Caenorhabditis elegans: one gene and its partner. The protein of the gene in region 1 interacts with the protein of each later gene in a pairwise test. Each region holds a gene or a part of one and is shown in the gene's direction. Other genes may lie near its edges.

Region 1 (6,598 bases):
AACGGTTAAAATATAGATATTCATACAAACGAGAAAAGAAATATATTCATACAAACGAGAAAAGAAATTGCCGGATTTTTAACCAAAAATAATCAAATCCTGAAACTTCCCACCATTTTCCCCACTTCCCAATGTTTTTCCAACATTCATGCCTTTGAGTTCAAAAAAGATTTTCATTTTATTTTCTGAATGTGTACCATCACATGTGAACTCATTCCTCCTCCATCGTTTACGATCTCTTTTTACGAGCTCCGCCCTCGAAAATGCTTCTGATCATGTAAACGAAAAGAAAAAAGATGAAGAAGACTGCTGACTGACTGACGATGTATCATTTTCTCACATTGTGTTATGTTGCGATTGAGTGTTAAACTTTTTATTTAGAGGTTTCAAACAGATGAGTCACTTGCCGATTATGAAAATACTGTTTTCGAGTTTGAAAATGTATATAACTTGTAAATATGCAAACTTGTAAAAACTTGTAAAACACTTGGCGTTTATTTTTTATCCATTTTCGTTTCCAACTCTAGAACAAGAGAGAATTTTGGGAAACTCTTGCCAGTATCTTACAAAAACTTTTTTGTGTCGTTGTAACATTGGATAAGACATTGGAAATAGTTGTTCAAACTTGTAGATACTTTGGTAATAGCTTCATAATGGTTTCACAAGTCTAACTCAAACTGTGCAAAAGCTTCACAACTTCTCAACCAAGTCTATTTTTTGGGAAAAAACTGCTCAAGAAGTCAGCTCCAAATTCTGAGTAAGTATGATTGTTGCCCTGAAACGTAAAACAAAAATCGGATAGGTATTTTCCGATTTTAACTATAAATCCACCATAAACCCCGTCGATCAATTTTGCGCTATTCCAATGAAAGACCGTTTTTTTTCAATTTAATATTTTCAAAAACTAAAATAATTCAAATAAATTTTTTGTTTTGGTTTCAACAGTGTCGTTTGCCATTTTTCTGTTCTAAAAATATACCCAAAATCTCACATTTCCTCGAAACATTCCATGTAAACATCTGTTCCAATGCTCCTCCCTCTTCCTTTCAATGCTCATTTGAAATTGTTTCACTTAATTAACCAGACTATTATCCGTGTCATTTACGGGCACATATACATCTACATACATCTCAATAATATTAATAACAATAAGCTTAGATTAGAAAGGAAAATGCGGGAACATGAGACGCAGGCAGAAGCAGATAGATGGGCGGTTCCAAATCGGGAATGTTGGAAAGCTTTTCGATTTAGACACAACGAATTTTTGAGCAAAATGTGATAAGAATAGTAATATGTTGTGCTATTTTTATTGTTATTATTTTCTGTTTTATCATTCTTTTTGCGTCTTGCGTAACACTTATCACTAAACGGCTTTTGTGAGGTTTTCACACGTTTTCATAAATTCTTATCAGTTTCATTGTTTTTATGGGAGTTTTTTCTTTTATTCTTCTTTTTTTAAAAATCTGAAAGTTTTCAGTACAAACTTTTTTTACTTGCCCTGTGTACGAAATATGATCTAAATGAGCACATGATGATGTGATATTATTTGATCTTTCCTCGAAATCCTACTCATTTTCTTTGTGTCGTGCCACTTCCGTTCCAATTCACAACTTTTTGTGTTTCCGTTACAACATTATCTGCTTTCTTACAGAATTACGGAAACCCCGTGGAAATTTTAGTAGATTGGATAGAAATATGCGAATTTGTTTCTTATTATTGGCATTTTTGGTGGCAGGTAAGCTTTTTAAATTTTTTCAAATATTTATTTAAATTTTATGAATAATTAATAAAGAGGGCCCTCAAAAACACTTTGAAAATAGGCCATTTTCTAACATTATCCATAAAAAGAAAACTATCACAAACAACGGGAAACTTTCAAAATTTTCAGAGACCTTTGCCAACGAACTTACAAGATGTTGTGCTGGAGGAACTCGTCATTTCAAGAATTCAAATACTTGTTCAAGTATCAAAAGCGAAGGAACAAGTATGACGTGCCAAAGAGCTGCATCCATATGTTGTCTCAGAAGTTTATTGGATAATGCATGTGACTCTGGTACAGATATTGCAAAAGAAGAGGAGAGCTGCCCAAGTAATATAAATATTTTGGGAGGTGGATTGAAAAAAGTAATTTTAAAAAATCGAATAAAAATATAAATTGAGATGGATTTCAGGAGTGTTGTGATTGCTGTCTTCTAGCCAAAGATTTGCTCAATCGAAATGAACCGTGTGTTGCTCCAGTTGGATTTTCAGCTGGATGTTTGAGAAGTTTCAATAAATGTTGTAATGGTGACATTGAAATCACACATGCTTCCGAGATCATAACTGGTAGGAAAACAGAACATTTTCAATATTATTTCTTTTTAAAAAATTGAAATAATTTAATTCGGAACTTTTCATAAAAAATACCCGATTTAATGTTAAAATTGTTTTTTCATGTTTTACAGGACGTCCACTCAATGATCCACATGTACTTCATCTCGGCGACCGATGTGCGTCATCTCACTGTGAGCACCTCTGTCATGATCGTGGAGGCGAAAAGGTTGAATGCAGTTGCAGATCTGGATTCGACTTGGCACCAGATGGAATGGCTTGTGTAGGTATGAATATGTTTTACGCTTTTTTTTGTGCAGGTCAAAACCAAGTTAGAACTTTTCGAAAATTTAATTTTGAATGGAAAATAATAAAATTAATAGTAAAATACATAGTAAAATTAACATCACACTGTTTATCTGAAAATTGGTATGTATTTTATGCAAATTGGCAGCTTTGATAATTTTCTTTTGTTATTTCACGATTTCAGAAAAAAGTTTTCCCACTTTCACTACATCCATTCCCGGTCCTCTAGCTTACCCACATACCTTTTGTGCTTCTCTTTCAGATCGTAACGAATGTTTAACCCGCCAATCCCCATGTACCCAGTCTGAAGATTGTGTTAACACAATTGGTGGATATATCTGTCAGAGAAGAATTTCTCGTCTTGTTCCCCATCGTCATCGTGCCAATCGAATTGGCAATGCGCCAAGAAGAATGAGAGACGATCCATATTCTCGTGCTGGAGAATATAGAGAAGCATCACAAGCAAATACAGAGTTTGGATGCCCAATGGGATGGCTTTTTCAACATGGACATTGCGTTGGTAAGATAATTTAACAAGAAAATTAAAAAAAAAACAAAATTTAAAAAGTTGTGTGCTTATTGTTTTTTGCGCACTTTAAATTCAAAAAATTAAAGTTTAATCTAATTCTAAATTAACTGTTTCTTGAAATAATATTTGTCGTGTGCTGTCTGTCTAACCCTCAATCCCTAGAATGTTCTCTCCATCATCCATGTTCACATTCTAATCAACATTGTCTACCCTCTCCTGGGAATAATCGTGGCGATGGTTCCTGTGTCTGCAATCGAGGATATTATTGGAGTGATACTAACTCGCAGTGTGAAGGTTCTTGCTTTTTAAATGACTAACTGAATGAGAAATTGGAAGCTATGTTAATTGACAATATAATATTTTTCGAAAATTTTGAACATCACTGACAAACTCGCTTGCTGAAAAACTAACCAAAACTAACTCCAGATATTGATGAGTGTGCCACACTGATGGACGATTGTTTGGAATCTCAACGATGTTTGAATACTCCTGGAAGCTTTAAATGCATCCGAACACTTTCATGTGGAACTGGTTATGCAATGGACTCTGAAACTGAGCGGTGTCGTGGTTTGAATTTTTGTTTCTAATTTTTGGCGTCTTCTAGAAACAATTGCTTTCTGATAATTTTGAATAACACTTTTAATTGTAAATATTTTTTTGTTGAAGATGTTGATGAATGCAATTTGGGATCTCATGACTGTGGACCACTCTATCAATGCAGAAATACACAAGGAAGTTATAGGTTCGTGATTGGAACATTGAAATAAATTCATATTAAATTATAGATGCGACGCAAAAAAATGTGGAGATGGAGAACTTCAGAATCCAATGACTGGAGAATGTACATCGATTACTTGCCCAAATGGATATTATCCAAAGAACGGAATGTGCAATGGCGAGTCTTTATTACATCATATTGTGTTTCAGTTGTTAAACTAAAAACAATTAATGTTTCATAATATTTACAAGGGGAGACTATACTATACTTTCCAGATATCGATGAGTGTGTTACTGGCCACAACTGTGGAGCTGGTGAAGAATGTGTGAACACCCCTGGATCATTCAGATGCCAACAAAAAGGAAATCTGTGTGCTCATGGATATGAAGTTAACGGAGCTACTGGATTCTGTGAAGGTACGTTTTTTATTTGTGACTAATGAAATTTAAAGTTTACTTTCAATTAATATCACTGAAACTCTAAAATATTTAAAACCATAAAATACGGTTTTCAGATGTGAATGAATGCCAACAAGGAGTCTGTGGATCAATGGAATGTATAAATCTTCCGGGAACGTACAAATGCAAGTGTGGACCTGGATATGAATTTAATGATGCGGTAATAAGAAAAAAAATAATCACAAAAAAGATTTATTTCAGAAGAAGAGATGTGAAGATGTTGATGAGTGTATCAAGTTTGCTGGTCATGTTTGTGATTTATCAGCCGAGTGTATTAACACTGTACGAATTTGCTTTGAAGTTTCCTCATTTTCAGTTCACTTTTCAGATTGGTTCATTTGAATGCAAGTGTAAACCAGGATTCCAGCTTGCTTCAGATGGTCGTCGATGTGAAGATGTGAATGAATGTACAACTGGAATTGCTGCATGTGAACAGAAATGTGTTAACATTCCTGGAAGTTATCAATGTATTTGTGATCGAGGATTTGCACTTGGTCCTGATGGAACAAAATGCGAAGATATTGACGAATGCTCAATTTGGGCGGGGTCTGGAAACGATTTGTGCATGGGAGGATGTATTAATACAAAAGGATCATATTTGTGTCAATGTCCACCTGGATACAAAATTCAACCGGATGGAAGAACTTGTGTTGGTTCGTTGAACTTCACTTTCGTGAACAAGAATTCTTGTCTCGAAAATGGTTTTCCAGTTAAATTTTATGACATTGCAAATACTTTTAGATGTTGACGAGTGTGCCATGGGAGAATGCGCTGGATCGGATAAAGTATGTGTTAATACACTTGGATCGTTCAAATGTCATTCCATCGATTGCCCAACTAACTATATTCACGACTCGTTGAACAAAAAGTTAGTTTTTAAAGCTATATAATTTTTGCATAAGCTTACCCTAATTTTTCTTGAAATTTCCCAATTCATGAATAGTCTTAATAGAAAATTGGATGTCTGCAAAGTATCTGAACTAATACGTTTGAATGTTCCACTAACAATATTTTCAGTCGTTGTAATCGTCAACCATCAGCATGTGGTTTGCCTGAAGAATGTTCAAAAGTACCATTATTCTTAACCTATCAGTTTATTTCTTTGGCACGTGCTGTACCTATTTCATCTCATCGTCCTGCAATCACTTTGTTTAAAGTTTCTGCTCCAAATCATGCAGACACTGAAGTCAACTTTGAATTACAATTGAAGACTACTATAGTTGGTATGAATTTTCTACTGACTGTATCTATAGAGACTGCTATTTCAAAAATGCTCTGAAATACACATACTTCAGCATTTCTAAAAAATTAGGAAGTCATATTAGAAGAGTGTTTTTTAGCAGTTTTTCTTGATTACCTTTACGCTAACCCTAGCCCACCTAATTTCAGGTGCTCCAAACGTTCTTCCAGCTATTCGAGCTAATTTTTTACTTCAAAAAGGTGAAAAACGAAATAGTGCAGTTGTAACACTTCGGGATAGTTTGGATGGACCACAGACAGTGAAATTGCAACTTTTACTCAGAATGAGCAAAAAAGGCAAAAACTTCAACACATACGCTGCCAACCTGATTGTCGATGTGGCAGCTCACAAGCGACATAATACGGTTCATCCACCGCTCATGAAGATTCGATAGAAACAATTTTGTATGACTTTGTTTTGTTGATAATGTTTGAATAGTGTGACTTGCTGTGATGATCTCAAAATTTGCATGGATTAATAAATATTTTGATAATGACAATTTCGACATGTTTCGTATAGCCCATCAAGATCGAATAAAATAAAAATATTATTTTAAATATTTCTGAAATGAAACAGTAAATTTAAATTTTTGAATTTACGTCTAAAATATTTTCAGCCAAATTGCTGATGGTTATTCTTGCATCAAAGTGTGCTCAACAGAAGATACCGAATGTCTTGGAAATCATACACGAGAAGTTCTTTATCAATTCAGAGCAGTCCCATCATTGAAAACAATTATCTCACCGATTGAAGTGTCAAGAATTGTTACACATATGGGAGTTCCATTTTCAGTTGATTACAACTTGGATTATGTTGGACAAAGGCACTTTAGAATTGTTCAAGAAAGAAATATTGGTTAGTAGTAGACTATAAACATTAATTTATAAAGGTTTTCATGAGTACATGAGTTATTTTGTAAGTGAGTTATATCTGGAAAATTATGAACTCTGTGATCCTTTCGATAAAAATGATTTTGTATTTTTTTCAATTGATCTGCAGCTCTTAAAAATTGTAAACTATCTTTAAATTTAACTTGT
Region 2 (3,602 bases), on another chromosome or scaffold:
TCCCCCCCCCCCCCTCCCAGCAAACTTTTGAGCTCATCCCAATGGTCTGAAAACACGCATAATTCGAAAACGTTCCTCATCACATCAAACGAACATATATTTCAAGTACATGCGTTTTTGCGGGCACACTGATAAAACAGAGCCGGCACAGAGTGCTCACGTACCGGTTCTCGTACGTTGCTCAACTCTCCTGTAACATGACCACCCCTGAGCTTTTAATCCGATTCCGGCGCAACTTTTTGTGCTGCTTTCCTTCATCCTCAGACACAAACATTGCAACCTTTTATCCAGCCGGCAATCGAACTCAACTCAACCCCTCAACCGGTATCTAAAGTAAAGGCAAGCGGTCTGAGTAATGAAGAATGTGATAATTGGGGTTCTTTGTATTTGTTTGTTGGGAGGGAGAAGAATCAACGAGAGATTGTGCAAATGCAACAGCTGAAAGCGTTAACCAGTTTCTCAGCTTGTATTCTTCTATGACGCGGTCTCTATTTACGGACTATTTGCAAATAACGCATCACTTGAACTTTTCAATGCAAGTGTTCGGAGATTGAAAGTTCTGTGTCACTACATTCACGTATTGTTGAAAACTATAACGGATATATTACAAGACGGTCTAGACAAAAATTGGGAAAAAAAGCTCTACTGAAAATGGGATATTAAACTACTACCTTTCAGAAATACTTTCAGAACAATATTACTTGATACAAAAGAAAGATCTTCAAAATAGCTTGCTGGTACTCCAACTAAAAAGATATAATAATCAATTTTTTTTTTACAAATCGGTGCAAAATAGTCGTTCGTTTACTAGTCATGCTTTGAAAAAATTTAAGCTTAACAATGCAACCTAACCTCGATTTTTTTCAAATTAAATTACAATTTCAAATGAGAATAAAGAGAACCTTCTACAACTTGAACATTCTGTGAACTATTGGAAAACACTGGACATTGAATGAAACAAAATTTTTAAACATTCACATTTGCGACGTTGGGCCGTTATTTATTGTCTCGAAAGAGGAAAAAAATGTCTGACAAATTGGAAAAGTACAGTAGATTCAACTGTCACACTTTTTTGTAAAGTAGGGCCTAAAATTAGTAGACTCGAGTTTTGAATTGGTGAGCCAATATCTCTCTTGACACAATTGAAGTGTTTTTAAACTGGTTAGAAGACTAGACTGAAATATATTATAGCTAACATCACTTTGGATAGTATGCGTCTTCGGCAAAATTTCATGTGCGCAAGAAGCCAAAAACAAACAATGTTTATTTGTGTGCACGCATTTTTTCAGCACACGGTTTTCATTTTCTCTGACTAAACTTTTTTCCCCCTCCTTACCATATTCCCACAGGTGCTCTAATCCGATCATAACTACTCATCTGTGTTTGATGCACAATTGAAACTGCCTTCGTTCTTTTTTGTCGCCTGTTCTTGCGCATGCCGGTCTTACCCTCTTGCCATGACTCCTCCCGGCGGGCGCGTATAAATATGAGGAGCAAAAGTTGAGTTGTCAGTAGTAGCTTGGCTTCGAATACTCTCTAACAAAAGCAGCAATGTTCCGCTCTGCATTTTCAATTTTTGCTATTGTCGCCCTGGTGAGATTTCTTTTTTTTTTCATTCCATTTTATTTATAAATTCCCCGCCATTTTCAGGCACTTTCGGCACCAACTCTTAGAGAAAAGCGTCAGGCTTGCTCATGCGCCCCAGTTCAGCAGCAACCATCGTGCTGCCAACAATCCACCATCAATGTCCAGGTTCAGTACACTCAGGTCCAACAAGCTCCAGCTCAAGACCCATGTGCTTGCCAGCCACAGCAGCAGCAGCCTGCGTGCAACTGTGCTCCAGTTCAGCAAGATCCATGTGCTTGCCAGCCACAACAGCAGCAGCCGGCTTGTAACTGTGCTCCAGTTCAACAAGATCCATGCGCCTGCCAGCAACAGCAACCATCCTGCGATTGCGCTCCAGTTCAACAGCAACCAGCCTGTGACTGCCAGGTAGGCTGTTAATGTAAGAGCGACGAATAAAAGTAACCCATCTTTGCAGCCACAACAACAACCAGCCTGTGATTGTGCTCCAGTTGCTCAACAACCAGCTTGTGACTGCCAACAAAACCCATCATGTGTGACCTGCATCCAAATCGAGATCCGTCAGCAACAAGCTCAACAGCCAGCTTGCGATTGTGCTCCAGTTCAGCAGAACCCATGTTGCCAACAAGCTCAGGTACAATATATTTGGTAAATGTTGGATGAACTTTTGAAGTTTCAGCCAGCCTGTGATTGCGCTCCAGTCCAACAGCAACCATCTTGCGATTGCGCTCCAGTTCAACAGAACCCATGCTGCCAACAAGCTCAGGTATGGCATTTTGAACAATTTTTTTTAGTCCGGTAATTTCAGCCAGCCTGCGACTGTGCCCCAGTCCAACAGCAACCAGCCTGTGATTGTGCTCCAGTCCAGCAGAACCCATGCTGCCAACAACAGGCTCAGGTAAATCACACTCCAGAGTTTTCCATTAAGTTTGTGAATTACAGTCAACTTGCGACTGTGCCCCAGTTCAACAGAACCCGTGCTGCCAACAAGCTCAGCCAGCTTGTGATTGTGCCCCAGTTGTTCAGCAAAACCCATGCGCTTGCCAACAGGCTCAGGTAAAGACTATTGCTTTTTGACCAGTAAATTAACTATGGATATCTAAACTTCCAGCCATCCTGTGATTGCGCCCAACAAGCTCAGCCAACCTTCCAAGTCCAAGTTCAACAAGCGCAACCAATCAATCAGTGCGTCCCAGCTTGCCAGCCAGCTTGCCAGTCATCGTGCACCGCTTCGTACACCAACCAACAATCCCAACATTCGTCAGCTACTACTTCCTGCGATGCTAACCAATGCGTATGCCAACGCGGATACGTCAAGTGCGCCGAGCAGACCTGCTGTCTTAGATACAGATACACCAACCGCAAGGCAAAGCGATCGATCGCCTAAACGAACTCATTTCTGACCATGTCTTTCTTTTTCGACTTCACGCAAACTATTTGTACATTTCGGTAATATTATTGCCATTACATAAAGTAGTTTTATATTATTTCCTTTTACACAATGAGTATATGCAATGAAGATATAAATGAAAAAATGATTAAGAATCATTTCTATGATGTTCAAATTACCAATTTTCGTCTAAATTACAACAAAATCACTGAAAAAGATTTGAGAAAAATGCAATTTTCTTTTAGGAAACTCTATTTGAAGTTTGAAAACCAGAAGATTTTCACAAAGGGTTGGTTCTATCATTATCTAAAACAGCAATCGTAGAAGAGATTTGAGAGTTTTCTTCAAAACTAAACTTTTTATATTGTGTTCAATATTGTTAACGAATTTTTGATCTTTAAATTTCCCATTTATTTTAAATCTAAATAACCTATACAATAATAAGCGCATTTGAGGAGTCAAATAAATAGACACATTTCAATTGAGATCTTCCACAATAAATAAGACACCTTACTAAAACATTTTTGGCACATGAACAAAGTACTAAGACAATAAATTAATGAATGCAGCGTTTCTAGAGCAGCTCAATATAGCTGACAGGCAATTTTCCGCGTTTTCCTCCTTTTTC

What was found. The genes of interacting proteins can lie anywhere in the genome.
Region 2: the proteins of fbl-1 (region 1) and abu-10 interact in a two-hybrid assay, tested with the Caenorhabditis elegans proteins (one large-scale study listed by BioGRID).

Annotation. Positions count from the first base shown.
Region 1 is NC_003282.8:9,539,157-9,545,754, forward strand, and holds fbl-1 (Fibulin-1), read left to right. Parts: upstream 1-1,651; 5' UTR 1,652-1,695; coding exon 1,696-1,735; intron 1,736-1,888; coding exon 1,889-2,124; intron 2,125-2,171; coding exon 2,172-2,325; intron 2,326-2,444; coding exon 2,445-2,597; intron 2,598-2,878; coding exon 2,879-3,136; intron 3,137-3,571; coding exon of another isoform or gene 3,572-3,712; intron 3,713-3,811; coding exon 3,812-3,887; intron 3,888-3,930; coding exon 3,931-4,040; intron 4,041-4,138; coding exon 4,139-4,279; intron 4,280-4,377; coding exon 4,378-4,481; intron 4,482-4,522; coding exon 4,523-4,603; intron 4,604-4,649; coding exon 4,650-4,974; intron 4,975-5,062; coding exon 5,063-5,189; intron 5,190-5,338; coding exon 5,339-5,544; intron 5,545-5,710; coding exon 5,711-5,955; 3' UTR 5,956-6,087; downstream 6,088-6,598. UniProt on the Caenorhabditis elegans protein: Incorporated into fibronectin-containing matrix fibers. Plays a role in cell adhesion and migration along protein fibers within the extracellular matrix (ECM).
Region 2 is NC_003284.9:3,796,672-3,800,273, forward strand, and holds abu-10 (Activated in Blocked Unfolded protein response), read left to right. Parts: upstream 1-1,510; 5' UTR 1,511-1,551; coding exon 1,552-1,593; intron 1,594-1,650; coding exon 1,651-1,992; intron 1,993-2,041; coding exon 2,042-2,218; intron 2,219-2,263; coding exon 2,264-2,350; intron 2,351-2,392; coding exon 2,393-2,482; intron 2,483-2,526; coding exon 2,527-2,640; intron 2,641-2,695; coding exon 2,696-2,971; 3' UTR 2,972-3,070; downstream 3,071-3,602. Other genes in the region: F35A5.8 (SH3 domain-containing GRB2-like protein B1), read right to left, coding at 3,549-3,602.